Linked DNA regions of Tamandua tetradactyla. The protein of the gene in region 1 interacts with the protein of each later gene in a pairwise test. Links are inferred from orthologs where the notes say so. Each region holds a gene or a part of one and is shown on either strand. Other genes may lie near its edges.

Region 1 (7,954 bases):
TCCACGTATTTGTGAATTTTCTGGCACTCTACCTATTATTGATTTCCAACTTCATTCCTTTATGATCCGAGAAAGTGTTGTGTATGATTTCAATCTTTTTAAATTTGTTAAAACTTGCTTTGTGACCCAGCATATGGTCTATCTTTGAGAATGATTCATGAGCACTTGAGAAAAAGGTGTATCCTGCTGTTGTGGGATGTAATGTCCTATAAATGTCTGTTAAGTCTAGCTCATTTATGGTAACATTCAGATTCTCTATTTCTTTATTGATCCTCTGTCTAGATGTTCTGTCCATTGATGAGAGTGGTGAATTGAAGTCTCCAACTATTATGGTATATGAGTCTATTTCCCTTTTCAGTGTTTGCAGTGTATTCCTCACGTATTTTGGGGCATTCTGGTTCGGTGCGTAAATATTTATGATTGTTATGTCTTCTTGTTTAATTGTTCCTTTTATTAGTATATAGTGTCCTTCTTTGTCTCTTTTAACTGTTTTACATTTGAAGTCTAATTTGTTGGATATTAGTGTAGCCACTCCTGCTCTTTTCTGGTTGTTATTTGCATGAAATATCTTTTCCCAACCTTTCACTTTCAACCTATGTTTATCTTTGGGTCTAAGATGTGTTTCCTGTAGACAGCATATAGAAGGATCCTGTTTTTTAATCCATTCTGCCAATCTATGTCTTTTGATTGGGGAATTCAGTCCATTGACATTTAGTGTTATTACTGTTTGGATAATATTTCCCTCTACCATTTTGCCTTTTGTATTATATATATCATATCTGATTTTCCTTCTTTCTACACTCTTCTCCATACCTCTCTCTTCTGTCTTTTTGTATCTGACTCTAGTGCTCCCTTTAGTATTTCTTGCAGAGCTGGTCTCTTGGTCACATATTCTCTCAGTGACTTTTTGTCTGAGAATGTTTTAATTTCTCCCTCATTTTTGAAGGATAATTTTGCTGGATATAGGAGTCTTGGTTGGCAGTTTTTCTCTTTTAGTAATTTAAATATATCATCCCACTGTCTTCTAGCTTCCATGGTTTCTGCTGAGAAATCTACACATAGTCTTATTGGGTTTCCCTTGTATGTGATGGATTGTTTTTCTCTTGCTGCTTTCCAGATCCTCTCTTTCTCTTTGACCTCTGACATTCTAACTAGTAAGTGTCTTGGAGAACGCCTATTTCTTTCTAATCTCTTTGGGGTGCGCTGCACTTCTTGGATCTGTAATTTTAGGTCTTTCATAAGAGTTGGGAAATTTTCAGTGATAATTTCTTCCATTAGTTTTTCTCCTCCTTTTCCCTTCTCTTCTCCTTCTGGGACACCCACAACATGTATATTTGTGCGGTTCATATTGTCCTTGAGTTCCCTGATACCCTGTTCAAATTTTTCCATTCTTTTCCCGATAGTTTCTGTTTCTTTTTGGAATTCAGATGTTCCATCCTCCAAATCACTAATTCTATCTTCTGTCTCTTTAAATCTATCAATGTAGGTATCCATTGTTTTTTCCATCTTTTCTACTTTATCCTTCACTTCCATAAGTTCTGTGATTTGTTTTTTCAGTTTTTCTATTTCTTCTTTATGTTCAGCCCAGGTCCTCTTCATGTCCTCCCTCAATTTATCAATTTCATTTTTGAAGAGGTTTTCCATTTCTGTTCGTATATTCAGCATTAGTTGTCTCAGCTCTTGTATCTCATTTGAACTATTGGTTTGTTCCTTTGACTGGGCCATATTCTCAATCTTCTGAGTGTGGACTGTTATCTTCTGCTGCTGGCGTCTGGGCATTTAGTCCGATTTCCCTGGGTGTCTGACCCAACAAGGTTGTAAGATTTTTCTGTGAAATCTCTGGGTTCTGTTTTTCTTATCCTGCCCAGTAGGTGGCGCTCGTGGCACACGTTTGTCTCACGTGTTTGGAATGGATCCCCCGGTCACCGATCTCCGCGGCCTGGGGATTTCCGATCCAATTCTCTCCGTTGGTTCGGGGGGCCGCGCGTGGTGGGGGCGTCAGCCGCCGCGGCTTGAGGAGACCCTGTGGCTGGTCGCCGGCCGCAGCGGGCCCGGGGAATTCACCACGGGACCAGGAAGTCACCCTCTGGGGAGGGGCGTCGGTCACCGGCCGCTGCAGCCTGGGGAATTCCCCACCGGACCAGGAAGCCGCCCGCGGGGGAGGGCCACCGCGGCTTGGATAGCCCTCTGATCCGAGACTCGTAGCCGGACCAGGAAGCCGCCCGCAAAAGAGGGGCGCCGGCCACCTCGGCTTGGGAAACTTGCCTCTCCGAGACTCTCAGCTGGCCCGGGAAGGAGGGAGGGTGTAGCTCCGGCCGCCGCAGCTGCTGCTGCTCGGGAAATCGCACGCCGCTCGGGGATCTCACCGCAGCCAAGTCTCGCAGTCAGACTAGCCAGTCCAGACTGGGGTACGCTGTGTGTCCATTCCCTGCCGTAGCCCCGGGAGCTGTTCTGCACTGTTTCAGTTCACCTAGTAGTTGTTTTGGAGGAGGAACTAAGACGCACGTACCTTACTAAGCCGCCATCTTGGCCCCGCCTCCCCGATTTCGATGGATTGGCTTTTAATAAAAGGGGATTTATTTAGTTAAAAACGTATAGTTCTTCAGAGGAAAGGCAGCTAACTTTCAACTGAGGTTCTTTCTTACACGGGAAGGCACAGGGCGATTGCTGCTGGTCTTCCTTCCAGGCTTCTGGGTTCCAACAACTTTCCCTGTGGTAATTTCTTTCTGCATCTCCAAAGGCCTGGACTGAGCTGGGAGTGCTGAGCTGGGAGTGCTGAGATGAGGTATACTGAGCTGCTTGGGCTGTGCTAGGTTGAGGTCTCCCATTTAAGCTTCCAGCCAGTTAAATATCATTCATTGCAGCAGGCACACCTCCTAGCCAACTGCAGATGTAATCAGAAACAAATGAGCTTCACATGCCATTAGCTTATGTCCATAGCAACAAAACTAGGCATCTTCACTTGGCCAAATTGACACTTGAACCTAAATACTACACCACCTTAGCCTAAGTCATAATTATTTCTTGCCTAAACTACTCCAAATAGTTCCCTAAATGCTTCTTCTCACTGCTACACTAGACCCAAACTGTCAGTTCACCACAAAGCATCCAGTATGATATTTTTGAAATCTTAATCAGCTCACTCACTTCTCAGCTTGAAACCCTTTAAGCAGAGCATGAACTCAGTCCTGCTGACTACCCCAGTCTCCACCTGGCTTATCATGCTCCAGGTTCATTGGGCTTAAAGAGCTCAGGGCACTTTCACCTCTGGGCTTTTCATTTGTTCCTTCTACTTAGAATGCACTTCCCTTCATTGACTCATTTCCATCTTTCAGTTCTCAGGGAGGCCATACCCTGGTTATTCTCTCCTGACCCAGTTATTTCCCTCATTAAACTTATCAGAATTATCTTTTTTTTTTTCTTTTTCTTTTTGCATTTACCTTTTAACTATTTTTTTGTGAGGGGCGGGTTCTTTTTTTTTATTTCTTCTCCTTGTTAGAATGTAAGTGCTATGATAGTTCATTTTCTGACTTTTTCACCAATGTGTTCCTAGCCTAGAGCCTAGCATACTACCTATTACATAATGGGGGCTCAATAAATATTTGTTGAATGAATGAATAAACCATATAGCTGCTAAATTTGTATTGGAATACAAATCAGAAGAGTGCTCACTCATCATGCTGCCTCAAACAGAAATACTGATATCTAAGCCTCTCCTCTCCCCTCCTCTGCAAAACTCAGTTTCAACTTAAACTCTATTATAGCAGATGCTGTGTCACACTGTACTACAAGTTGGAGATTTGAGTGAACAAGAGGACACAGGCAAACACACAACGAAGTATAAGCCAACTGTTTTGTTATAAGCAACTGTGATCAAAGCAGAAAGAATCAGAGCTATACATATTCTTAGGATCCACCTATAATATATCTATGAGACCCAGCACTTCCAAGGGCTATGTGGTAACTTAATTCTGTTCTGCTTCTGCTTCCAGCTGGTGTTTTTTAACATCCCTTTGATGGCTTATCTGTGTTGGAGCTTATTGCAACGGTGCTTTGGTTACAACTTCAGATCTCATCTCCACCAAGGAAAATACTTGAAAATTATACCTGTTCACCTACTTATGCTACTGCTGTACATCTGGCAGGCTTATTCCTGCTACTTTCTTCATGTGACATATGGCACCCTAGCTTTTTTCTTCTCTCCTTTGTGGACCTGGTTGACACTGCTGACACCTCTTCTCATTCGTTGTGTGTGGACATTGAACTCCACTGAGCTTGGAACCTTTGTGGTGCTGTTAAAAAGCCACCTGAGCTCCTAAAGGCCATGTCTTACCAGTAGCAGCTGGACCAAGCTCCAGTTTCTGCCTCTATAGTGCAGGACGTGCCCCAGCAGCAGGTGGAAGGCCAGTTGGTGGGTAAGCTTCAGGAAGCTGCTGCTCCTTGGAAGTCCAGAGTTGGAGAGATTACCCACTACTGTTTCTTGCAGAATGGACTAGAGGCAAGTCTCTAAATAATGTGTGATTCCTTCCTTCCCCAAGGAGGCAAAGGATTGATTTACCTTTGTGAAGAGAAAGCCCTAATCTCGGAGATGCACAGTGCAGGGACTGGGTTTGTAAATGGGAGTAGCTAAGGCCCAGTATGTTTTCTGGGTTACCCCATATGAAACACCTAGCACAGAGCCTGGCACGTAGCTGGCAAGGGTGCCATTTTAAGGACAGTGAACCAGTGTAGCCTTGGGGCCCTATCCTGACTATCCTTGAGAAATTTGCTCCCAGACCTGTTTGCCCTCAGGGTTATGGATTCTCTGCTTCCTCAGTCGGGGGTGTTTTCAGCTAATCAAATAAATGAATGAATGAGTAAGCAATTTCATGGTCTCTGAAGGCGGGAGGAGGCCTGTGGCTACGAGGGGCGTGGTCTAGTTTCTGGGGCGGGGCGGGACAGTTTGTTGCCGGAAGTCAACCCGGGTCCGTGGTCCCCGGAAGTGGAGTGGTGCGGTTTCCGCAGTGCGGCACTTCCTGGGGCCGCGGCGGTATTTGTGGCGTTCAAAGGTGAGACAGCGATGGCGAGCACAGCTGTACCTGCAGCCACGGTACCCAACCCTGATCCACCTTTGGAGCAGCTCCAGAACTTGGCAGTGGAGCTGCGGTTGCTCATGACACGAGTGCGGGGTGAGTTGAGGTCGTTGCAGTTAGAAAGGGACACGGCAGAGGCGGGTTTGGGTGGGAGACAGGCTGCGGCGGGGGACCCAGATCGTGCAGAGGTGGTGGGGGGCCGGAGATGGCTCCACTTAACGTCAGCTTTTCCTTTCGCCACCGCTTGGCCTGCACACACTACACACACAAGTCGGCGAAGCCTGGGAGACCACAGAGGAGTTTAATCGGGAGAAGTTTTGGAAAAGACTCAGTGAGTGCTGTTCTCGCTGCGGAACCTCCCCCCATTCCCTTGCCTATCGCTTTTGTCCATGGGCCTTCCTCCAGCTTGAGCTGCATCCGCATGCTGTTCCCATCCTCTCTTCCCCACGGAGATGACTGTCTCTTTCTCGCTGAATTCTCACTGTGGGTGGGAACCTCACATTACTCAGCCTCCACAAGTGAGAGTTTGAAGTTAATTATAAAATGGTGAATTTTGGAGGTGTTTTTAAGAAACCTCAACACGTAAAGGGTGGAGAGGGAATTCATTATCTTTCAAGTCCGAGCAGCAGCTGCAGCCTTATCCATTAGCACTAACATTGGCTCCCTCCTCTTCCTCTGTCACCCCAAATTCCCCCTACTCCCTCCAGATGAGGCAGCTGAAAATGTGTCAAGGGAAGCCACTAATCTGACTGTAGTCTCTCGACTTCCATTGCCGTCTCCACAGGTGGGCTTTACTTTTCGTGGTTTTGTACTGCTACATTATTATCTAGAAACCCTCACATTTTCGTTCTATGTTTTACAGTAAAGCAGGGGATTTGTTTTCCTCATCTGTCAATTGGCATTACAGTTCTTCCTCACAAAACTGTAGTGAAGACTCAGTATGTTAACATGTAAATTTCCATGCGCAATATTTAGCATTAGGTCTTCTAAATAATTGGTTCAATCTGAAGTTCAGCCTGGCTCTTTTTTTCCTGATAACTTTTTTAAGCACTTGTTTTTTGCTAGGTGTTTTTACATACGTGATCCCCATTTGGCAGATGAGCAAGCAGACTTAAAGGATCAGGTTATGGTAATTTAATAGTGGAGCTAGGATTTAAATTAGGGTCTGTCTAATGTCTCAGCTACACCCTTTCTGCTATGCTGTGTATTTTTATATTCAATTAGAGTTTTATAGTTTTAGCTCTTAAAATTAGGTTGTTGATCTATTTTTTAAAAAAATTTTATTGTATAAAATAACATATATATAAAGCTAAGAAAGAAAAAAGCAATAGTTTCCAAAGCATTCTTCAACAAGTAGTTAGAGTTAGTTATGGGTTACCATACCATCATCTCAGATTTTTCCTTCTAGCTGCTCCAGAACATTGCAGGCTAGAAGGAAAAAATACTTTTTCATCATCACAATTGACTTTGTTTTTCTTTTTTTGTGAAAAATGACATATATACAAAAAAGCAATAAATTTCAAAGCACAGCGCAACAATTGTAGAACAGATTTCCTTGTTTGGAATGGGTTACAATTCCACAATTTTAGGTTTTTAATTCTAGTTGCTCTAATACAGTAGAGACTAAAAGAAATAACAATATAATGATTCAGCAAGTTGTTGATCTATTTTGAGTTAACTTTTGTATATGGCATAAAGAATTTAGAATTTAGATGAGGTTAAAGAAGAAAAAGCCTAAGACTGATTAGAAGAAAAATAGTCAATATTAAGTATTTGTTGAATCCATGCTAATTATCTTTAGAAATATATTGTGATTCTCTTTTTTAAAATAGAGAGGACAGCACTAATGTTCTCACATAGGAATTGGCAATCTTTTTCTGAAAAGGGGTAGAGAGTAAGTATTTTAGACTTTGTATGCCAACTCTTCAACTCTAATCTAGTAGTGGATTAACTGTAAACAATAAGTAAATGAATGAGCATGGCATGTTCCATATAACACTTTATTTAAAAAAAACTGGCATGGGCCTAATTTATTCCATTGGCTTTAGTTTGCCAACTCCTGGCATAAGATATGGTAAATACGTCATAATAGATCATTACTGTTTTGTGATATACAATATCAGGAATATATTTTTCTTGCTGTTTCTTAATGTTTTATTGCATTATCAGCCTAGTATCTGGTATCTAATTCTTCTCTGGTATGTAAGGAGTATAGCACAAGACCTTCCTTATAGTAGGACTCAGAAAATGTTTGATGATGCTGTACAGATAGCTGCTCTCTTCCACAGTAGAAAGATTGACCACATTTATCTATCTAATCCATTTCCTTTTTTCATCCTGAAATTGGTTCCTCACCTTAAAGAAAGCTCAGATGTGCTGTGAACAAGTCCGTGCTGCTATCGAGGCAATAACTGCAGTGTACTATTCGCTTCCTAAGGATCAGGGTAAGCCACTGTGTGCACAGAAGCATTCAGTTTATAGACTAGATCTTTGCTAATATAACAAGTTAATCCTTAAACTTTTACCATTGCCCCAATTTTTGCATATAACTTTCCCCTATAAAATGCCATCAAAGATCAATTTAATAACACAAGTGACCTTTGGAAATGAGCAGTTATGCTAAGGTACACAGTGTTCCCTGTAGCTCACTTTCTCTCCTCCCTTGCATAACTTGGCTTTTAGTTCTTCTCAGTGGCTCTTCCCTCTCTAGCGCATGCTAACCAACATAGCTGGATCTCAGCCCCATACCCAGGACCAAGCCATTCCTACTCTCCTCTGCCATATTGCATCATACCCACTTGCTGAGCTCCCATTAGTTAAGTAGCCTCCAGCTCTCCTGTAGATTCATGCCTTGACAAAATTATAAATTGAAACATGCCGTG
Region 2 (7,064 bases), on another chromosome or scaffold:
ATCTGTTACAAAGAGAAGGGATACAAGTCCTTGCCATGAGGCAGAAGAAAGGACCCTGGGCTAGGAGCCATATAGACCTGAGTTCAAAGGCTGACCACACCTTTTGTTTACTGTCTCCAGTGGCCTTGGGTGTCTGGGTCCTGGCTCTCGTTTCCCCAATGGTGAAATGGAAAAATCGACTTCTCCCCTCCTCCTTCTCCAGCAAGTTGCAAGGCCTCCCAGGGACAGTGAGTGGGACCCCAAAACCCAGCACCCCTGAGAGTGAGGAGCCATTGGCATAGAGGAAGTGAAGTCTGGGCTAACTGATTCAGCCAAACCAGGCCTCCTCCAGGAAGCCCTCCCTGAGTGCTCAGACCCCCACCAGCCCAGTCTCCTGTCCAGAAGGCAGGGCATAAGGGTGAGGGGTAGGGAGACCCTTCCCTCCTCCGTGCCACCCTTTCTTCAGCCACACAGCAGCCTAGAGGAGTCTGCATACGTCGGAGATAACATGGATACATAGATGGTGACATTACAAAATAAAATGAATTGTTAGCAAAAAAGTTCCCATGGGTTTCTTTGGGTGGGGGGTTGTGACACACAGCAGGGTGGGAGTGGGGGCTGCTTCTGAGGTCTATCAATGTTCTGTTTCTTGACCTGGGTGATGATGGTTACCTGGGTGTTTGCTTTAGAAGTATTCACTATACTTTACTTGTTTAATGCCTTTTTTTCTGAGTGCTATAGTTCACAATAGAAGGCAAAAGTTCTGATCATGTCTCCCACTGCTTAAAACTCTCCCACTGCTAATGAATGGTTTCCCGTAATAGAAAGGTCAAAGGGCACAGACATTACAGAGATACTTCAAAGGGAGAACCACGGGATGGGCCGCTGGTTGGCTGGGGGGCAGGAGAGGTTGTTGAAGCTGATGCCAGCGGGAATTCAGGCTTGGTTGCTTCACTACTAAGAAGAATGGGGTCCCCTGCTGGGCTGGGCCTCAGCTCAGGTCACAGCCTCCCACCCCACCCCACCCCGCCACCCCCCCTGTATCCACATGGCTCCCAAGCCAGCCGCCTTACAGAGCTTAGTCATAACCCACTCCTCTCGTAGAATTTAGCAAAGGTTTCCCAATGGCCTCAGGATAAAATTCCAAACTTCCCTGCTCTACAGAGCACGGCAGGCTCATCCTCTGCCTCTTGCTACCCCTTCCCAACCCCTCAGCCCTCACTCTTTTGCTCAGCCAGGCTCAGCTTCTCCGGGTTCTGGAACTCGGCAGGGCTCTGGACTCCCATCTCTGGCCACCGCACACCCCTGTATCTGAAACCCTGTCCCCCTGGCTTTGTTGCCGCTACTCCTCAGTTAGCGTACCACATGCTCAGGGAAGCCCGTGCTGACCCCCAGCTCAGGTCAGGGTCCTGCCCCCTTACACCCCCTCATTGCCCCCTATCACTTTTCAGTCATGGCATTTTGCAGAATTGCAGTTGTTTATGATAATGCATCTGTCTCTTCCTTCACACTGGCCGTTCCATGCGGTCAAGGAAACTGGTGAAAGTTTTGCTGGTGACAGGGGGCCCCCAGGGACTGGGCTGAAGAGCCTCCTTCGTCCTCCCTCCCCCTTCCTAATGGAGGCAAAAGTAAGAACTGACTGTTTTCTCCTCCTTGCAAGAAGGAGCAGGAGACTTGGTCCTTGCATCTCAAATAGGAACCCACTTTCCTCAGCACATCCTCAAGACAATAGGGAAAGCCTTCTCATTCAAAAGGAAAGGCTTCTTCCCCCTTCCCCAGTTTCTATGGAGACTGCTTTCCCCGAATCTGGCCTGCCAGCTGTGATGGTGAGTGAGGGAAGTGGGGGAGAGCCCCGGGTGGAAGGTACGCCTCTTCACACACGTGCTCATTTTGGACATTGAATGAGGCTGTGTAATAAAATGTCAGGAATACAGGTTTCAGAGTCAGACAATCCAGGGGGTAAGTTCCTGCTCTGACCCTTACTGGTTCGTTTTACAACCTTCAGCAAGACACTTCACCTGTCTGAACCTCACTTTCCTCATCTGTAAAATTGGTAAGGGTCCAGAAATCTATAAGCTCTTATTATTGAGATTCTAGAACATATAGTAGGCCCTAGGGAGGCAACTGTGCCAGTCTAATCCGAGAGATTTTGTTCCTAAGTGTCTCACCCCCACTGAGTCCTTCTCACACTTTTTCAACTTAGTTTACACAGAAACGACTCTTTCTTTCTCCCCTCTTATGTCACTAGTAACTGACATGAATTAAATTCCCTAATGATAATAGCAAGTTCAACTGGCATAAAGAGCTTTGGGAGCAGACACTTCTGACTCTTGGCAAACAACTCACGGAAGGGGAGCAGCGTGAAGAGGCAAACTAGGGCAGTGTTTTTCAAATCACAGATCACGACCCCTCCGTGAGTCATCGGAAAACAAATTTAGTAAAGTCATAACCATTATTTATTTAATTGAACTAGAACATAAAATATCAGAGCAAATCACACACAGTAAAGGGTTTTTTTCATGAAACTTTAGCTCCCGTTGTACGTGAGCACATGTGCTGGGCTTCTCACAGTGGGTGCTGCCCCCTTGAAAGTGCCCTGCCCCCGTCTAGGGAGACTTCCCCACCCCATGTCACCCTCCCACACAAACACATTCTTTGCCTCAACTTTATGTGAGCGAACTTCCATGCGATTGTTTGATTAATTATTGGTTATTTGATTAATTGATGTCCATCTCTCCCACACACACTAGAGTTTGAGTTCCAGGGGGTAAGGAATACATTTCCTTGACCTGGGTAGCCCAGTTTTAGCACAGCGCTGATCCTATCACAGGCACCCCCGAGGTATTCTTTGGAGAGGCGAGGGGAGCATGAGGGAAGAGGAGGGGGGGGAGGGGGAGCCCACGTTTCCTTGGGACGTGTTGGTTTAAGGCACCTGCAGCGCTGGGGGGAGGGGGGCTCCAGGAGGGGGCTGGGAGGGGCTGAGGAGAGGCGGTGTGGCGCGCTGGGCAAACACATGGCCTCTGTTCCCAGACTGCCCAAGTTTGAATCCTTGGCTCTGTCCACGTTAGCTGAGGGAAACATGGACCCATCCTAACCTCTCTATCCGTGTCCTCATGGAGTCAAATAGACTGCAGTGAGGCAAAGGTGACAGAAAGGAAGTCAAGGGGGAGGGGGCAGGTGCTCCCCTGAGATCCTGCAAAAGAGGGAGACAGGCGGGGAAAAGCTTTTTAAACAGGAGATTCTTTAGCTTGTTTGGATGCCGACGGGAAGGGGTGGACCCGACACTGCAGAGAGGGGCGAGTCAGTGGGGCAAGGCTAACGGGGAGTGGGCAGGAAGAGCGGCTCACAGGGAGCGACTCTGGGTCTGTCCCAATGCAGGAGGGGTAGCCTTGGGGTCAGAGGGTGGGTGGAGAGTTTGGAGAACGCGGTGGGGGGGGGGGGCATGCCTTGACTCGCTAAGGGAGGGGGTCATGAGGGCAATTTGAGGCAAAATCCCTGTGGGAACCTGGGGCTCCGAAGCCCCTGCCCCTGTGTCTTTCTGGCAAACCACTGAGCAAGCGAGAAGAGAACGCCAGACGTCTAGGGCGGGGTGGGAGGGGCCCTCGTTGACCCGGGTTGGCTGAAGCTACCGGCTGAAGGGCCTGGAACTCGAGGCCGCCAAACCCTGGGTCTCCTCCGTGCCCGGAACCCCCACCCGGCCACCCCCACCCGGCCATCCCCAGGCCCACTTTGACCAATCTGAAGCCCCGAACACTCGGCAGGTTCTAGGGAGGGGCCCGAGCGTCCAGGAGGTGGCGCGGGGACTGGGCCGGCGAGGGGGCGGGGTGGGGTGGGGGGTGCGGGTTCTGGCCGCGGAGGGGGCGGGATGGACCGAAACAAAGCGGGGAGAACTTGGGGAGGGGGCAGGCGGGGGTTGGGATCCGGCGAGATGAATGGGGACGACAGGGCCAATCCGAGAGCGGGGCTCGCCGCCGAGAGAGGAGGCGGCCAATCGGGGCCCCGCGCGGCCGCGGAGGCGGCCAATGGGCTGCGAGGAGCGCGCCCGGGGCGGACCCGCGCGGAGTTTCAAATCCGCTGGCAGTGGAGGGGGCGGCCGGGCTCGGCTGCGGGTCGGCGGAGGACGCTGTCGGGTGAGTGGGGGCCGGGCCCGAGCCGGGCCTCTGCGCACGGGAGCCGGGGTGGGCGCAGCGTCCAGCGGGGACAGGCCCGGTATGGAGGAGGGGAGGGGGTCTGGATATTGCAAGCGTCCAGTAGAAAGGGGGGACGTCGGTCCGCGGGCCGGGGTTTGGGCCCGAGAGCGTTGGTCAGGAAGCGGCGGGCTGGGCCGGGGGCTGAGGGTCCGCGCGGGCAGGTCCTGACTCCGGTGGAGAGCGGGATGGATGCCGGAGTAAAAGCGCAGCCCTTTGGAAGATTTGAAAGGAGGGGCTGCAGGAAATGCTGACCATCCTTGTTCAGCCTCTTCTCTCTTCTGGGTCTTGCTGACCCCTCTTCCAAGGAACACCGTCCTTCCTGCCCCCACCCCATGGGCCTCCAACCTGTCTCTTCCCTGTGCCCACGGTCCCTGTGGAGCCTGGGGCGTGGGCCGCCTTGCCAACTTGCCTTTTGACCTCCTCCCCAGGATCTGGCGGGCAGAGCAGAGACTTGGCCCGGCAGATGGCCTCTCGGTGGCAGGGCCTGGGGGCCTCCAAGCGCTGGAGATTCCGCCAGGACCAAGAGCAGCCTGGGGAGAGTGAGGCGCTGCAGCCTGGGGAGAGCAACGTGCTGCAGCCTGCAGTCAGCCATCCAGAGACCTCCAGGGCCCTGGGCTCCCTGTGCAAACAGTTACAAAGGAGGCTGCCCCTGGGGACCGTCAGCCTTAACCTCGGGGCTGGCCCCTCTTGGAAACGCCTGGAAATCCCAGAGCCAGGGCAACAGGGTCTGCAGGCTGCTGCTCGCTCAGCCAAGAGCGCCTTGGGTGCTATGTCCCAGGTAAGACCGACAGTCCTGACCATCCCTTTATAGGAGGGCTTCCTTGGTGCTACACGGTGCCTGTCCTCAAGGCGCCCACAAGAATGGAGACTGTGTGAAGACTATATTGGGTGTGAGGGGCCCGTGTGACTTTTCCAAGCAGACACGTCTTCAAACCTGAGGCTGGAGCTGTCACCTAGAAGGGACAGAAGCTATGAGAGTAAGGAGACCTCCAAGGAGCGGGGTCCCCTTGGTGTCTGGTAGAGGATTCTGAAGATGTAGGGAGAAGGGAACCATTTCTAGACCCTTTGCAGAGAAGTCTCTGAGCCTAGTGTTAGCCTTTATCTGGAAGAACCCTGGGATCCTTGCTGCCACCTCCAGGGATCAGAGAAATGAAATGAGGTCACAAGACTCACTAGTTTTGCTCAAACCTCTGGACTCTGGGCAGTCCAGCCAATGAAGAGCCAACAGCCATCACAACCTCTCCCCACTTCCGTTGAATGCCAGGGCCGAGAGCTAGGGTTTGATCCTGTGGGCAGTGAGGGGCCACAAAGGACCCTGGGCACCCAGGTGTCATGGTGAGAACTACCCTTTAGAAGGATCTCCCTGGGGACCAATGTGGGTGATGGATTAGGGCGAGCGAGACCAGAGGCAGAAAAACAAACCATCTCCTAGCGTCCAGGGCCTGGTCATCTCTGGCCTTTCCCCTGAATCTCAAAAGAGGGTTTGGACTTAGACAAACGGAGGCTCTTAAGAGTCAAAGAGGGCTCCTGCTAACTCCCCAGGGACTCAACTAGGTCCCTACCGCAGAGTCATTTCACAGGGTGTCACCCGCATTCCTCACCCCGAGACTAAAAGCAGCCTGTGGGACAGCTGGTAGGCTCGGGGTTGGAGGTATGGCCTGGAGACCTGGCGGAAGCTCCCCGTTGGCTTTGTCTGTTCCTTTCCATGTATCTGTCACAGAGAATCCAAGAGTCCTGCCAAAGTAGCACCAAGTGGCTGGTAGAAACCCAGGTGAAAGCCAGAACGGGGAAGAGAGGGCCACAGAAGGCCAGCAGCACCCCACCCGGCAGCCGGAGCCAGAAGAGCACCAGGCTGTCTGGGGCTGCCCCTGCCCGCTCAGCCCTGGGCCCCTGGGAGAGGAAGAGTCACAGCCTCTCTGTCCAGATGAACCTACGTGCCCACCCACAACGGCGGTCAAGGAGAGAGGCTGCCTTCTGGAGCCCGTGCTCTTCAACAGAGCCCCTCTGCTCCCCCAGGTAAGTGGGGCCGCCCCTTGCCCCGGGCTGGCGGGTCTGAGCCTCAGCATGATTCTTACTCCTTGGTTAGCAAAAGACTAACTGGACCCAAGGGGGTTCTGAACACCTCCCATGGCCACCTCCCAGGGCCACCCAGGAAACCAGGGCACCTGGAGCTGAGTCAAATCCATGTTTTGGCAGCTCTGCCTCCACTATGAGGGGACCTGGGAAGTCCTTAAGGCCTCAGTTCCATCTGTAAAAAGAAGAGGTGAGCTTAGCTCTGGTTAGACCACATTCACCCAAGCTTCCCAGGAGACAGCAGAGCTCACCAGCCCGTGACCTTGGTCCCAGGGGCTTTGATCTCCCTGTTTTCTGCCAGGTGTTCCAAATTCATCCGTAGGTGTTGGTCTAGAGTGAGGGTTCCTGGCCCCCATCATTCATCTGCTGCCCTTAGACCAGGCCCCAGTGCTGGGTTGGGAAGGGCTACTGGGTTCCGACTACTCACTGACGTGTGCCTTCTCCTTCTGTTCAGTGAGTCTGACAGTGACCTAGAGCCTGTGGGGGCAGGAATTCAGCATCTCCAGAAGCTGTCCCATGAGTTGGATGAAGTCATAGTGGCTGAAGAGAGGTGAGCCGGCATCCCATGCTTCCAAGCAAGAAATGGCCAAGAGGGGCCCCTTTAGCATATGCCCTCTTTTTAGGCAGGTTTCTGGTTCTGGCTCTGACCTGCTGTGTGATCTTGGCCAGTTCCTAGCCCTTTCTGAGCCTCCTTCTCCTTATCCATAGCATATGAGTCTTTCATCCTAGACTGTGTGTGGTCTTCCAGCCATGTTTATCCATCACCTTCCATCATGTGGTTAGGGACCTGGTTCCAAACAGACCTGACCTCCTTTCAGCCCT
Region 3 (4,956 bases), on another chromosome or scaffold:
TGAGCGTGTCCCTCAGCCCCTCTGAGTCCCTGTCACCATTTTCTGTGACTCTTCCTCCTCTTTTCCAGGGTCTCTCTCCTCCTGACCTACCCCCCCCACCCCACCCTCCGCAGCCTTCCCTGCACCCCTCCCAGGGCTGTTTTCTGCCACCACTGGGAAGGAAATTGACAAGTAAACAGGGCAGCTGTGGAGTCTGGTGGGCCCACAGGGGCTGTGGTCCGGGGGTGGGCTGGAGCTGGGGTTCATGGTGAAGTAAACAAGACGGCTGATGAATTTCCTATCAGTATCTCCTGGGCCTTCCCCTCAAGACACAGCAGCAGGCAGACCCCGGCCAGGGCCAGCATCTGGGAGACAGCCTCAGGGCTCAGGCACGAAAACAACACCAGCTAGTGGAGGGAAAGGAGCCGCATCCCAAATAATAGAATCCTAATAGAAAACAGTGGAGGGGAAAAATAAATAAATAATGAGGAAAAAAGGGAAAGAAAACAACAACAACAGAGTTGCACAAAGCAGAATCTGGGACTCTTCAAATACTAGTTGGGATGGTTGAAACCCTCGCCTGTCCTTGCGTCATTCTCAGACGTCCAGTAGATGATGCCACACTGCATCGGTGGCCCAGGGAAGGCTGTGACACACCCTCCAGTCTCAACCCTCCCAAGCAGATGGACTCAGCTGTGATTTGCATGTAGCATCCCCCGCTCCCCGTCCCCGCAGCCTCCTGGCGCCCCCTCCAGGAGCCTTGTTCCACAGGACACCGCAATCTCTTCTGCTTTCAATTAGGTCTAGTGCATCCATGGCCAACAGGCCTTACTTATTCTCTCCAAGCAAAGTTGTTGGCTCAGTTTGCCCCATCCCTCCCGGTTTCCCATCTCACTACCCTTCTAGCTGGGAAGTCCCTCCACAATCTAACCACAGCCTCTCCTGCTTTCGGCAGACCACTTAGGCGGGCTCTCCACTCAGCAGGTTTGCGTGCCTCCTGGCAAGGGACAGAAGGGACATCCTGGATCGGGGTCAGGTAATCCTGGGTTCAAGTTCCAAGCTCCAGTTTACTAGCCGGATGGCCTTGGATGTGGCCCTCAGCCTCCCTGAGCCTCCCATTCCTCATCTGTAAAGTGGGACCCTCCCTTGAGGATTCAAATTCATGTCACAGGGAGAGGGCCCCTGCTTGGTATCTATAAATAAGCGCCGGTATGATTTTTTTGCCTTAATTGTGTCTGAATTGTCCTAGCTAACTTTTTTTTTTGATAGCAGCAAAATATATGCAACATAAAATTTGCCATTTTGACCACTTGAAGCATGCAATTCAGTGACATTAATTCGCGAGGTTGTGCAACCATCACCACTAGCAATTGACAAAATCTGTCACCAACCCAAACAGAAACTCCACACCCATTAAACGATAACTCCCCATCCCCTTTGCCTCATCCCCCAGTAACCTCGAATCTACTTTCTGACTCTATGAATTTGCCTATTCGCGATACTGCATGAACATGAAAACATACAGCATTCATCCTTTTGTGTCTGGCTTCTTTCACTCAACGTGAAGTCTTTCAGATTTAAATAAACATGGGGTATCATGTGCCAGGACTTAATTTCTCTCTCTTTTTTTTAAATATTTTTATTGACAAAACATAACATGAACACTCTTAACATATGAATATTCCATTCTTAGTATATAATCAATGACTCGCAATATCATCACGTAGTTGTATTTAGGATTTTATTCCTTTTTATTGCTGATTAGTGTTCCATTGTAAGGATAGATCGCATTTTGCTTACCCATTTATCTGTTGATAGACACGTGGGTTGTTTCCACCTTCTGGCTAATGGGAATAATGCTACGATGGACACTGATGAAAAGTCTCTGTTTGTGTCCCTCTATTCAGTTCTTTGGGTCTATACCAACTACGGGAATTGCTATAGCTAATATTTAATGGGTACCTCGCAGGGACCAAGCTCTGTGCTTAGGGTTTCCTATTCACAATGGCCATCCCGCTCTGAGGCATGTGCTGGCATCACCCTCACCTGATAGATGAGGCAACTGAGGCTCAGAGAGGTTAAATAACCCTGCGGCCATCCAGCAAGCAGATGGCAGGAACATGCTGGAACCAAAAAACACTGTGCTGCCTGCCAACAAACTGTGGGCTTGTTCATGCTCCAGTCACCCCTCTGTCTCCCTCCACTTGATCCAGTGACCCTAATATGAATAGAACAGAGGGGTCTAACTCACCTCTTTAGGAAAAAGGACTCCTGAGCAGGCATAAAACCTCGCAGCCACCACAGGACCGTGGCTGTGCCTTTACACACCAGGACTCTAATAATGGTGTTTGGTGCATGTGTGAACCCAGAATACCATCTTGGGGCCTTGGTTTTCACACCTGTAAAATAAGAAATGGGGTGAGCTGGACCTGATGATAGGGATAATCCTTTGTAGCTCAGATTCTGGGTTGTGAGGGCCATTGGAATATCTGGCGTCCCTGCCCACTAAATCTAGCCGCTGCCTCCAACAACTACGGCAAACCCCAAATGTACCCATTTCCACACCACCCCTAAGGGAGATGCACGGTCCAACGGGATTCAGCTTCTACAAATGGTTCTGGCCTCATTTCAGGACGCTCATTCTGCTCTGCCCCTCCCCCCCCCAACCCCCAGCCTCCTTGTTGTTCCTACGTCTATGTTTCTCTTTCTGGAAGATTCTCCCTTGTGGTCCCAGCTTCTGGGTCACCCCCTCCCCAGCCCAGCCTCTCTCCAAGCTTACAGGTAACTGGGCCTTTGCATCTGTTGTTCTCTTGTTCTCTCGTGGCTCCTCCCCGCTGGACTGGGGACTCAGGAAGTCTATGTGGGCTAGCCTTGGCCTTGGATGGTTGAGCTTCCCAGCATCCAGCACAGGGGAGGCCTCGAGAGCTACGTGCTGAATGGTCAAGGCAACCAAGGGAGGTCACTGGTGGAGGGAGAGTCCCTGGAGGTGGGGATGGGCAAGAGGCAACACACTGACTTTGGTCCTGAAGGCCAGGAAGGATTTGCGGCAATGGATGGGACCAAGGAGCGAGGTGTGTCCTAAGTGAGAATGCATGATGCTACAGACCTCCAAAGCTTCTAAGACATTCCCTGAGCATCTCTGGAGTCAGACTCGGGTGCAAATCCCAACTCTGCCATTACCCAGCTGTGTGACCTTGAGTGCATCCCCTAACCTCTCTGAGCCTCATATCCCCAGTAAAATGAAACCGATAGTGCCCCCCTCCTTGAGTGCTTGTGAGGTTCAAAGAGATCACATTTATAAATCACTGAGCACCAAAGTATGCACTGGGTATATATGCAATGAATGAATGCCTCTTTGTTCAAGATGTAATGAAAGAAAAGACTTTAATTCAAAAGCAGTAGAAGGCACACTTGCTTTGGGCTTCCACAGACCTGGGTTGGAGTCCGGGCTCTGCCACTTGCACGCTGTGTGACTTTGGGCCCTCTCTGAGCTTCAGTTAACACATCTATAAAATGGAGGTAATAACGGCATTTCTGATTGCCATTCTGACCGCAGTTGTTGAGAGAATTAGAGCATGTGGGTACCTGCAGCACAGCATCTGGCCCTTAGTAAAGGAGCGCTGTTATTATGGGAAAGGCCGTAGATATGTGAAGGGAGCTGCCCCCCAACCTGGGAAGAAGGGAGGGTAGGGGCGAAGGGGGCATTTGCAGATAAGGACCTTCATGAACGGACAGGGAAACTGAGACCTGGGGAGGGGGAGGGGCTTGCTGGGGGTCACAGCATCCAGGAGGCAGAGCTGGGGACAGAGACTGGGAGGATAACCCCCTGCCAGATCTCGGTGGGGGATTAGAATCCGATGGGGCCCATGGGTTGGGAGTGGGCTCTTTAAATCCTAAGCTCCACCTTTGTTTAGAAGGGTCTCTGGGGAGTATAAAAGGGGGTGCAGCTCCTCTCAGCTCCACAAGACGCCTGCTGTTCCTGCCCACCGGCCCCCAACCCCCGGCCCCTCTCCAGCCACCCACCCCAGCCTACGCCCCACCCCCCCCAGCACCATGCAGCTGCCCGCCTTCAACATGTGGAGGGACTACTTCAACCTGAGCCAGGTGCTGCTGGAGGTGATCCGAAGTCGGGGGCAACAGCCAGAGGCCCAAGGGGTTGGTGAGCCAAGCCCTGGGCCCCAGCTGGGGCGGCAAGAGGGGCCGGGAGGGCCAGGGGCCGGCGGGGGCCTGGCCACCCTGTGCAACTTCTGCAAGCACAACGGCGAGTCGCGCCACGTCTACTCCTCCCACCAGCTGAAGACGCCGGAGGGCGTGGTGGTGTGTCCTATCCTGCGTCACTACGTGTGTCCCCTGTGCGGGGCCACCGGTGGCCAGGCCCACACGCTCAAGTACTGCCCCCTCAACGGTGGCCAGCAGTCCCTCTACCGCCGCAGCGGACGCAACTCTGCCGGCCGCAAGGTCAAGCGCTGAGGATGGGGACATGACCACAACCCACCCCTCCAACCCTTCCTGCAGTGCCCCCCGAACTCTCCCCCATCCGCACAACTGCCCTTTGGAATTTCTCCCCTTTGGATCGCGGAAACCCAGGCGTCTGCCCTGGGTGGGGAGTGGGGCCAGGCCTGCCATCCTCGAACCTCCCAGCCCCGTGGCTCCTTCTGTGCTGAAGTCCTTGGAGCTTCAGTTCTTCCCGGGGCCTGCTGGCCCTGTCTCTTCGACGTCTCAGCCACGGGACTCGATTCCTCGTGGGACTCCTGGATCCTTACACCTGGAGGAACTCACTGTGTTCGCTGGGGACAGTAAGCCAGGCTGGCTGGGACTCTCCCGCCCAAGTCCTTCAAGATTGGCCCTTTTCCCCCGTCTTTCAGCCACCTCAAGACCCACAGTTTCCTCGGGGATCACGCTGGACCGTTTCTTCCCCACCCTCATGGCCCCATCAGCCAGGAGCTGGGGGTGCAGGCTTATCCCCAGGAGGGAGAG
Region 4 (7,201 bases), on another chromosome or scaffold:
CGGTTATCCTACTGGAGCCTTAATTTTCTCATTTGTAAAATAAAAGCCACATGATGTGCAACTAAAGTTCTTTTTCCTATCTAACATTATATGAAGCTAAATAGTTAATTGATAGTTAATAGATTTGAAATAAATATACAGTTGAGAAAAGCCAAATACATCATTTCCCAATAGTTATAAACTCATCATCAGTGAAAGAAGGCATCTGTATTTGTTATGCATTCAAAAAATTCATAATATAACAAAAGGTATTACACACCAACTGACAATTCTTTTCCTTAATAATAGCAATATTAAGGAATAATAATAATAATATATTATATATATGATAATCATATATCATAATAATAATAGCAATATTATTAAGGAAAACCAATAATAGCAATGAAAATATAAAAATCTGTATAAAAATTTTTATAAAACTTTAAAATTTGAAATACTTTTATACTTACAGGACAATTACAAAAATAATACCAATCACATACAGAGAACTCTAACATATCCCTATCTCCCCAGATACCCAGATCTACCAATTTTAACATTTGCCAATTTGCTATTCCATTCTAGCTATCTATCCTTTATTCTATCAACCCTTCTATGTATCTATCCACCTATCTATCAATCCATTTTCTGAATACCTACTTGAATGTAGATGTATACATCATGCTCCTTGAACCCATAATGCTGCCATGTACAGTTCCTAAGAACAAGGATATTCATTTTATAATCACCTTGAGTGCAGTTGTCAAGTTCAAGAAATTTAATGTTGATATAACATATTCTATGTTCTGCTTGATTCCCTCTCCCACAGTGTTTTCTGTAGGAGAGCTTGGTGAGCTGCCTTCTGCACACAGGACAAGTTCTGGGACAGCAAGTGCCTCTGGCCACCACCAGACAGATTGGGTCAGACATACAGGTTCCCAATATGTGCATGAAGGTTACTATTCTCCCTCTGGAATGTGGACCAGGGATTCACACTGGGAACACCGGTGGCTCTGCAGTAAACTGGTCATGGGATTGGGCTGGAACCAGCTAGGACACCCCTTTTAACTACACTTTTTCTTGATCCAGCACTTGCCCTGTTCATGCAGTCCTTTAAATGTTTCTGGAGCTTTGAGAAAGATGTTTCTGTCAGTTCTTGCCAGTTGCTCAAAGCTGTCGGGGTACAGAGCCACGAAGTGTCTCACTCTGCCATCTTGATTGAGGTGGGGCCTCCAAAAACAATTTTTTAAATGAACTTGTAAAATAATGGGAAGAAAAGTTGCTGTATGAGTACAGGGCATTGGCCTATACTGAGAAAGACTGTTCTATATACTTTACATAAATTAACTCATTTATTTAGTCTTTATAATAACCATATGAGAAAGGTGCTAATGTATCTTTTAAGAAATTTTTTATTGTGGTTAACAGGTATAAAACAAAATTTCCCATCTTAACTGTTTCAAGCATACAATTCAGTGGTGTTATTACATTCACAGTGTTGCATTACCATTACCACCATGTATTACTAAAAGTTTTCCATCACCCCAAACAGAAACTCTGTGCCCATTAAGCATGTATCTCCATCCACCACCCTCACTCCAACCCTGGAAGCTCATAACCTACTTTCTATATGATTTTGCGTATTCTAGCTAGTTCATACATGTGAGATTATACTATATTTGTCCTTTTGTGTCTGGTTTATTTCACTTGACACATTAATGAATTCTCCATTTTACATGCAAGTAAAGTACAAGTCAGGCAATTTATTAGCCCAAGGTCAACTATCCAGTAAAGTGACAAACTAAGTTTTAAACGCAATCTGGCTTCAGAAGCTCTCTGCTTAACCACTGCAATATGCTGATTTTGTTACTGGTTTCTCTATCAGAGATTTTCAACATTGAAAACACATGTCATCCAGATATTCCCTGAAGCTAGCTTTCCTTGAGAGGTTATCATTCCAGTTAACTATGGCTCTGTAAAAATCTACCCAAAACTTATGGTGTAAAACAACTATTTTATTATGATCATGGATTCCATGGGTCAAGAAATAAGACAGGGTACAGTTGGGATAACTTTCTTCTGCTCCATGTTGACTAAGACCGCATCTGGGAAGATTCAAAGACTGGAAGTGATTTGACAGCGAACTGAAATCTTCTGAAGGTTCTTTGCCTGACAGTTGGTGCTGGACCCTTTGGCATTTCCATATAACTGTTGAGATTTCCTCACAGGATAGTGGCTGAGTTCCAAAAGTGAATGTCCCAAGTGAATAAGGGGGAAGCAGTATTGTCTTTTATGACTGAGCCTTAGATGACAGAATTGTTTCCATCTTAGTCTGCAAGCTTACTCTAATTCATAAGAAGCAAAAACTTCAACTCTTAATGGGAGGTGTGTCAAAATCACATTGTAAGAAGAGCCTGTGGAATGGGAGAAATTGGTGTGGGGGGATGTTTTTAGAAGATCCAAGTTTCCGCCAAACTTATCCACTTAGCAGTAGCAGCTACATATTGGGAGAAGAACAGAATGGATGCTGGGGAAGAAACTACAATGTCGTACACTACAAATAAGTCTCAGGGCAGCCTTGCTTCTGTTAAGAGTTGTTCATGTTTGTGCTAGTCTCTCTCATGGGTTGAAAGTTCTTTGGTGGCAGGAGAGCTATAATACATTTTATTCATCTTTCTATTCCTCAAAGCTCCTAGTCCACAGTAATTTTAACTTAGTATCTGTTATACAATATGAAAGAGTCTAAGGAGAATAAACTAAGAGCAAGAATAAGCCAAGTTATGATCCCAAAGTTAATGGTAGAGAGCCAGAATTAGAACTTATTCTAGACACTATTTATTCCTTTATTTGTTAAACAATACGAGCCAATTTTTTAGTCATTAGGCATTAGTTCAGTGGGTTAAAAAAAAACTTTTTAAGATAAAAGTTTTAAACAATAATTTTTTATTATAATATAATAATTTCACAAACACCTACATAATTATTAGGGAGAAATGTTATGAAGTAAAAGTTCAGGGTAATATGAGAGATCGTTAAGAGAGATTTGAATTAAAAAGGGGGATGGGTTTTGGGGAAGGTCTTTCTGAGGAAGGGACATTTAAACTTAGATATGAAGGATGAAGAGGAGGTAAAGAGGCTAGGAGAGAGAGAATGGGAAATTATTCTTGGCCCAGGGATCAGCATTCAGAGATATGAAAACATGGGGAATAAAGTCTTATGGAGAAAAGTGAAAGAGATGCAACGTTGGAGAGAAGGGAGTGAGAAGAGGCAGTGGGTAGGAGCCCCCAGATTAAACAGGGCCTTATACATTAGATTAAGAGTTTTAAAGTCTTTTCCTGGGTGGGTTCCACCAACCTCTTCAAGGAAATCTGAATCCTGGACTCGGTCCTGAGACTCTTCTGACCAGCTTGACTCAGCATCTTCTTAGTTTCTCATCCTCGATCAGCATTTTAGGAGTGCCATCTAGCTTCCTCCCAACTACGCTGCCCAGGCATTTAATTCTTTCCTAGCTATCTGATTTCCCTGACCCCTCAGCTTTCTATCAGGGCTCTTCTGAGTGCACTCTTATTTCACTGCCCCCGCTCTTCTCAACTTCGCAGTCCGTGACATTCATTGCCCTTCAGAGTCATAAAGAATCAGCCAAGTAAGAACTCTGAAAATATTGGCAATTTAAAGCGGTCGCACCAATTCTGCACCATTAGATCATAACAATAGCTTACTCAACACCCATCCTTAGATTGTACCGCCACTACTACTCTGGGGGATGGTTTTATTTGTAGCTGTGTCTTCTATCCACAGTCCCGTGTGGAAGGGCACCGTAGGAATTTATCCGAAATACTCCTGTCACGAGTCCTTTCCACCTCTCCGGCACTTCCTCAGGCCAGACTCTTAACCCCGCGGGTAACGCTGCAGTCGGCGACCGCGCTTCAGGAAGTCGGCACCGGCCTCCGCGAAGGGGAAGGAAAGAACAACGAGGGGCTGAGGAGGACAAGACGAAAGAATGGGAAGGGGTGAGGAAAACGGAAAGGGTGCGGGAGAGGGCGGGAGCCAGCCCAAGGCCAACGGAGCGCGCCGCAGCGCGGGAGGAAGACGCGGGCGGAAGGTGGCCAGTCTGGGTGGGCAGAGGCTACCGGGAGGGGCGGGGCCGCGGGCGCTGGGGGCGGAGCTCCTGCGCCGGTCACGTGACGGGACCGGCGGCGGCGGCGGCGGCGGCTGTAGCGGCCGCGGCGTCTTTAGCGGCGCCCAGTGCAGGATGGTGCTTGAGGCAGCGGCGGCGGCCGTGGTGGCGGCGGCGTCGTTAGCGGCAGCGGGGGCTGTGGCGGTAACAGCGGCGGCGCCCGCGGATGGTATAAAATGGCGGATTTCGAGGAGTTGAGGGTAAGCGGGGCCGCGGAGTAGAGAGCGGAGGCCGCGGGGGAGGGGAGGCTGCAACGTCGCCGGCCGCCGCCTTCTTATTTCGCGGGCACCGGTTGGCGGAGTCCCTAGCCCCGAATCCCAGCCGGCGTCCGAGCAGTGCCGAGTGGGCGGGGGAGGTGAGCGAGTCCGTGGGGGACGCCGGGCCGTACGGGGGCGGTGGGCCTGGGGCCGAGGGCTAGCCGGTCCGCGCGTCCTACCAGCGGCTCCGCACACCTGGCACTGGGGCCTGGGCACCCCTCCGGGAGTGGCACGTGGGAATCTGACCTCCCCATTTAATTTAAGGGCCGAGGTGGGAAGCATTATTTCATTTTCCATCTTCTCAAGGGGTGGACGTGTCTGTGGCGAGTAAGTCTACGTGCTCCTCACTTGGTGGAAGACTGTTTTCTGAAAGGTGAAGTTGTTCTTAGGAATTATTCTCTTCTTTCATGGTTAATGCTACCGTTCAGTCAGGTCTGTCCCAAGAAAAGGCTCCTACCCCTTTCCAGTATTTCCTCAGCATGTGAGAGAAGCGTGGTCTTTTGGTTACTCTACCGTCAACAGTCGGCCTTAAACCTTGATATATGGCTAGTGGCGCTGGAAGAAATTCGAAAGTCTGTGTTGTGAGGTTTGTCAGTGAACTGAACTCACTTTGCTCTTGAGGAAGCAATTTATTTTCCTCCTGGCTTTATCACAAAGTAATGTACTTTATTGTTGATATCTTTATGTAGTTGAGGTTTGAATTGGGGTGCGATGGGGTTAGGACGGAAAAATAAGTATTTTTTCCCCAGAACGAAATATTCGGTGTCCTTAACTGAATCAAACTAAGTGTGATAAACGAGCCGGATTTATTTTTTTATGAGCACTGGAACTGGCGACATAAATGGGAAATTTAATGGAAACCATATTTAAAAAATTGTCTTTCAAAGTAGAGATGAATGTCAACTTGAAATTAAGTTAACTGCAGACAATTTGTGTAACATAGCCTTTAGGATATTAGGTTACTTTTTTGGAGTAAGAAGAAAGGGGAACGAAGTAAAAGATTCAGTTTTGTGTGTTTGTTATTATTTTTGGTCGAGGTATACTGTGGAGGAAGGAGCGTTGGGTCATTTGTTACCTGGCTAGTATAGTATAGTAATGGACACAAGCAAAAGAAACATGCTCATGGTTCTGATCTAAAGGAAGATTCTTATAGTTTATATAATGCCTGCCATTTTATCCTTCTGCTGTTTCAAATCACTTAGTTCCCAGTATGGAGAAAAAGTATATTTATGCATTTTGTGCCCTAGCTTATGGAGGACCATGATCATAGGCAAAGGTGTTCATATTGATAATCTAAGGGTTTTAGTGTCTCAGAATCCCAGCTGTGGTGCTTTTGACACCTGTGGAGTGTTTGAAACAACCAGGCTTGAGCTTCCTCTGTAAATTCATGTTTTAGGTTTTGGATGGGTTTCAAAGACTGAACTTTGAAGTTAAATTTATTTTTACTTGCAAGACTGTCTTAATTTTTGCATATTGGCAGATGTATACAGTTTTTCCTCTTCAAAGTTTTGTGTTGATGAAAGTTTTCCAGAACTTGTATTAGATTTTTATAAATATCGTCTGTCAAAGTTTAACAAAATGTGGAGAATTTATTTACTAGCACAGGGCAGAATGTGTGGTCACTGTTTAGGTTGGAGTTCAACCAGAAACTGAAAGGTGGTTGGAAACCAAAGAACCTTTTTCTCTCTCTTCTCTCCCATTTTGTTTTGTGGGTCAGTTTCATTCTTCTCTTCTTGTAAATCAGCTGTCTTTACTTCTCCCTGTATAAAAGGCCCCCTCCCACACAGTTTACTTCAGACCAATGGAGACTAACTGGTGAGAGTTTTCAGAGTAGAAGGTCTGGGCTCACCATCCTAGTATTTGCTGCTCAGTGTAGATCGGTTTTCCCCTCCATTCAAAGATGAATTGGGGCGGTGCGACGTGACAGTGGCTCCATGGCAGAATTCTCACCTGCCATACCGGAGACCCTGGTTTGACTCCTGGTGCCTGCCCATGCGAAAACAAAACAAAACAAAACAAAACAAAAAACGTAAAGATGAATTGTACCCCCTCCCTTACCCCAGTTGTGAATAGTCATCTTTTTCACAGTGGTAGAGTGATATCCCAAGATGTTTTCTTAAGCCAGTAGTGCTGGTGATGTATGAAAATGGCAGATACATACTGTCATATAATGCTTATTATGTGCCAGGCTGTGGCCTAGGCACTTCACATATACATACTCAATTCAATTCTCACAATTCTATGAGGATGTTGAGCCATGGGAGAGATTAAATAACCTAACCAAGGTCAAATAGCTCAAGCTGGAACTTTGAACCTTAGAGGTTTAGCTGTAGAGTTTGTGCTCTTCAGAATCTTAGCTATACTGCTTTGTTCATTTTCCTTCATGTTAAATAAGAGTTCCTAGTCATCCTACAATCTGTGGACTAAATTAAATGATAACTAAGCACTATTCTTCTTTTATGATATATAATAGTGGAGGAAAAACAGGGCAATTGATGGAAAAACTAATTAGAACAGAAGAAACATACAGAACTGGATGACCCCTGGTCCAGAATATATTATGATAGTCAGTGATAGTCAAGTTAATTATAGACCAGCAAAAATCATGGGCATTAGTTTATTGGCTAACTTCTTGGCAGTGAGGAAATGATTAGTCCTTCTGGCTGCCACATATTTGGCAGCTAGTTTTGCAGCTGAGAGGATTTCCCTTATGCTTGTCCATTATCCTTCAGGGCCACTCCCTAGGGGTCTGTATAACCAAAACAGTTTGCATCTGGTTTTATTG

Evidence for each region.
Region 2: the proteins of CCNDBP1 (region 1) and PIMREG interact in binary tests that used the Homo sapiens proteins (3 or more experiments, as listed by UniProt). The two-hybrid records come from large-scale screens. The link is inferred for Tamandua tetradactyla from reciprocal best matches to the Homo sapiens genes CCNDBP1 and PIMREG.
Region 3: the proteins of CCNDBP1 (region 1) and NANOS2 interact in binary tests that used the Homo sapiens proteins (3 or more experiments, as listed by UniProt). The two-hybrid records come from large-scale screens. The link is inferred for Tamandua tetradactyla from reciprocal best matches to the Homo sapiens genes CCNDBP1 and NANOS2.
Region 4: the proteins of CCNDBP1 (region 1) and PIAS2 interact in binary tests that used the Homo sapiens proteins (3 or more experiments, as listed by UniProt). The two-hybrid records come from large-scale screens. The link is inferred for Tamandua tetradactyla from reciprocal best matches to the Homo sapiens genes CCNDBP1 and PIAS2.

What each region holds. Positions count from the first base shown.
Region 1 is NC_135340.1:57,391,570-57,399,523, forward strand, and holds the start of CCNDBP1 (cyclin-D1-binding protein 1), read left to right. Parts: upstream 1-4,945; 5' UTR 4,946-5,059; coding exon 5,060-5,168; intron 5,169-5,343; coding exon 5,344-5,403; intron 5,404-5,779; coding exon 5,780-5,856; intron 5,857-7,434; coding exon 7,435-7,516; intron 7,517-7,954. Other genes in the region: TMEM62 (transmembrane protein 62), read left to right, coding at 3,993-4,319. UniProt on the Homo sapiens protein: May negatively regulate cell cycle progression. May act at least in part via inhibition of the cyclin-D1/CDK4 complex, thereby preventing phosphorylation of RB1 and blocking E2F-dependent transcription.
Region 2 is NC_135332.1:59,057,416-59,064,479, reverse strand, and holds the start of PIMREG (protein PIMREG), read left to right. Parts: upstream 1-4,061; 5' UTR 4,062-4,109; intron 4,110-4,597; 5' UTR 4,598-4,632; coding exon 4,633-4,947; intron 4,948-5,889; coding exon 5,890-6,185; intron 6,186-6,696; coding exon 6,697-6,792; intron 6,793-7,064. UniProt on the Homo sapiens protein: During mitosis, may play a role in the control of metaphase-to-anaphase transition.
Region 3 is NC_135342.1:15,163,732-15,168,687, forward strand, and holds NANOS2 (nanos homolog 2), read left to right. Parts: upstream 1-4,032; coding exon 4,033-4,449; downstream 4,450-4,956. UniProt on the Homo sapiens protein: Plays a key role in the sexual differentiation of germ cells by promoting the male fate but suppressing the female fate. Represses the female fate pathways by suppressing meiosis, which in turn results in the promotion of the male fate.
Region 4 is NC_135344.1:36,265,620-36,272,820, forward strand, and holds the start of PIAS2 (E3 SUMO-protein ligase PIAS2), read left to right. Parts: upstream 1-4,187; 5' UTR 4,188-4,335; coding exon 4,336-4,359; intron 4,360-7,201. UniProt on the Homo sapiens protein: Functions as an E3-type small ubiquitin-like modifier (SUMO) ligase, stabilizing the interaction between UBE2I and the substrate, and as a SUMO-tethering factor.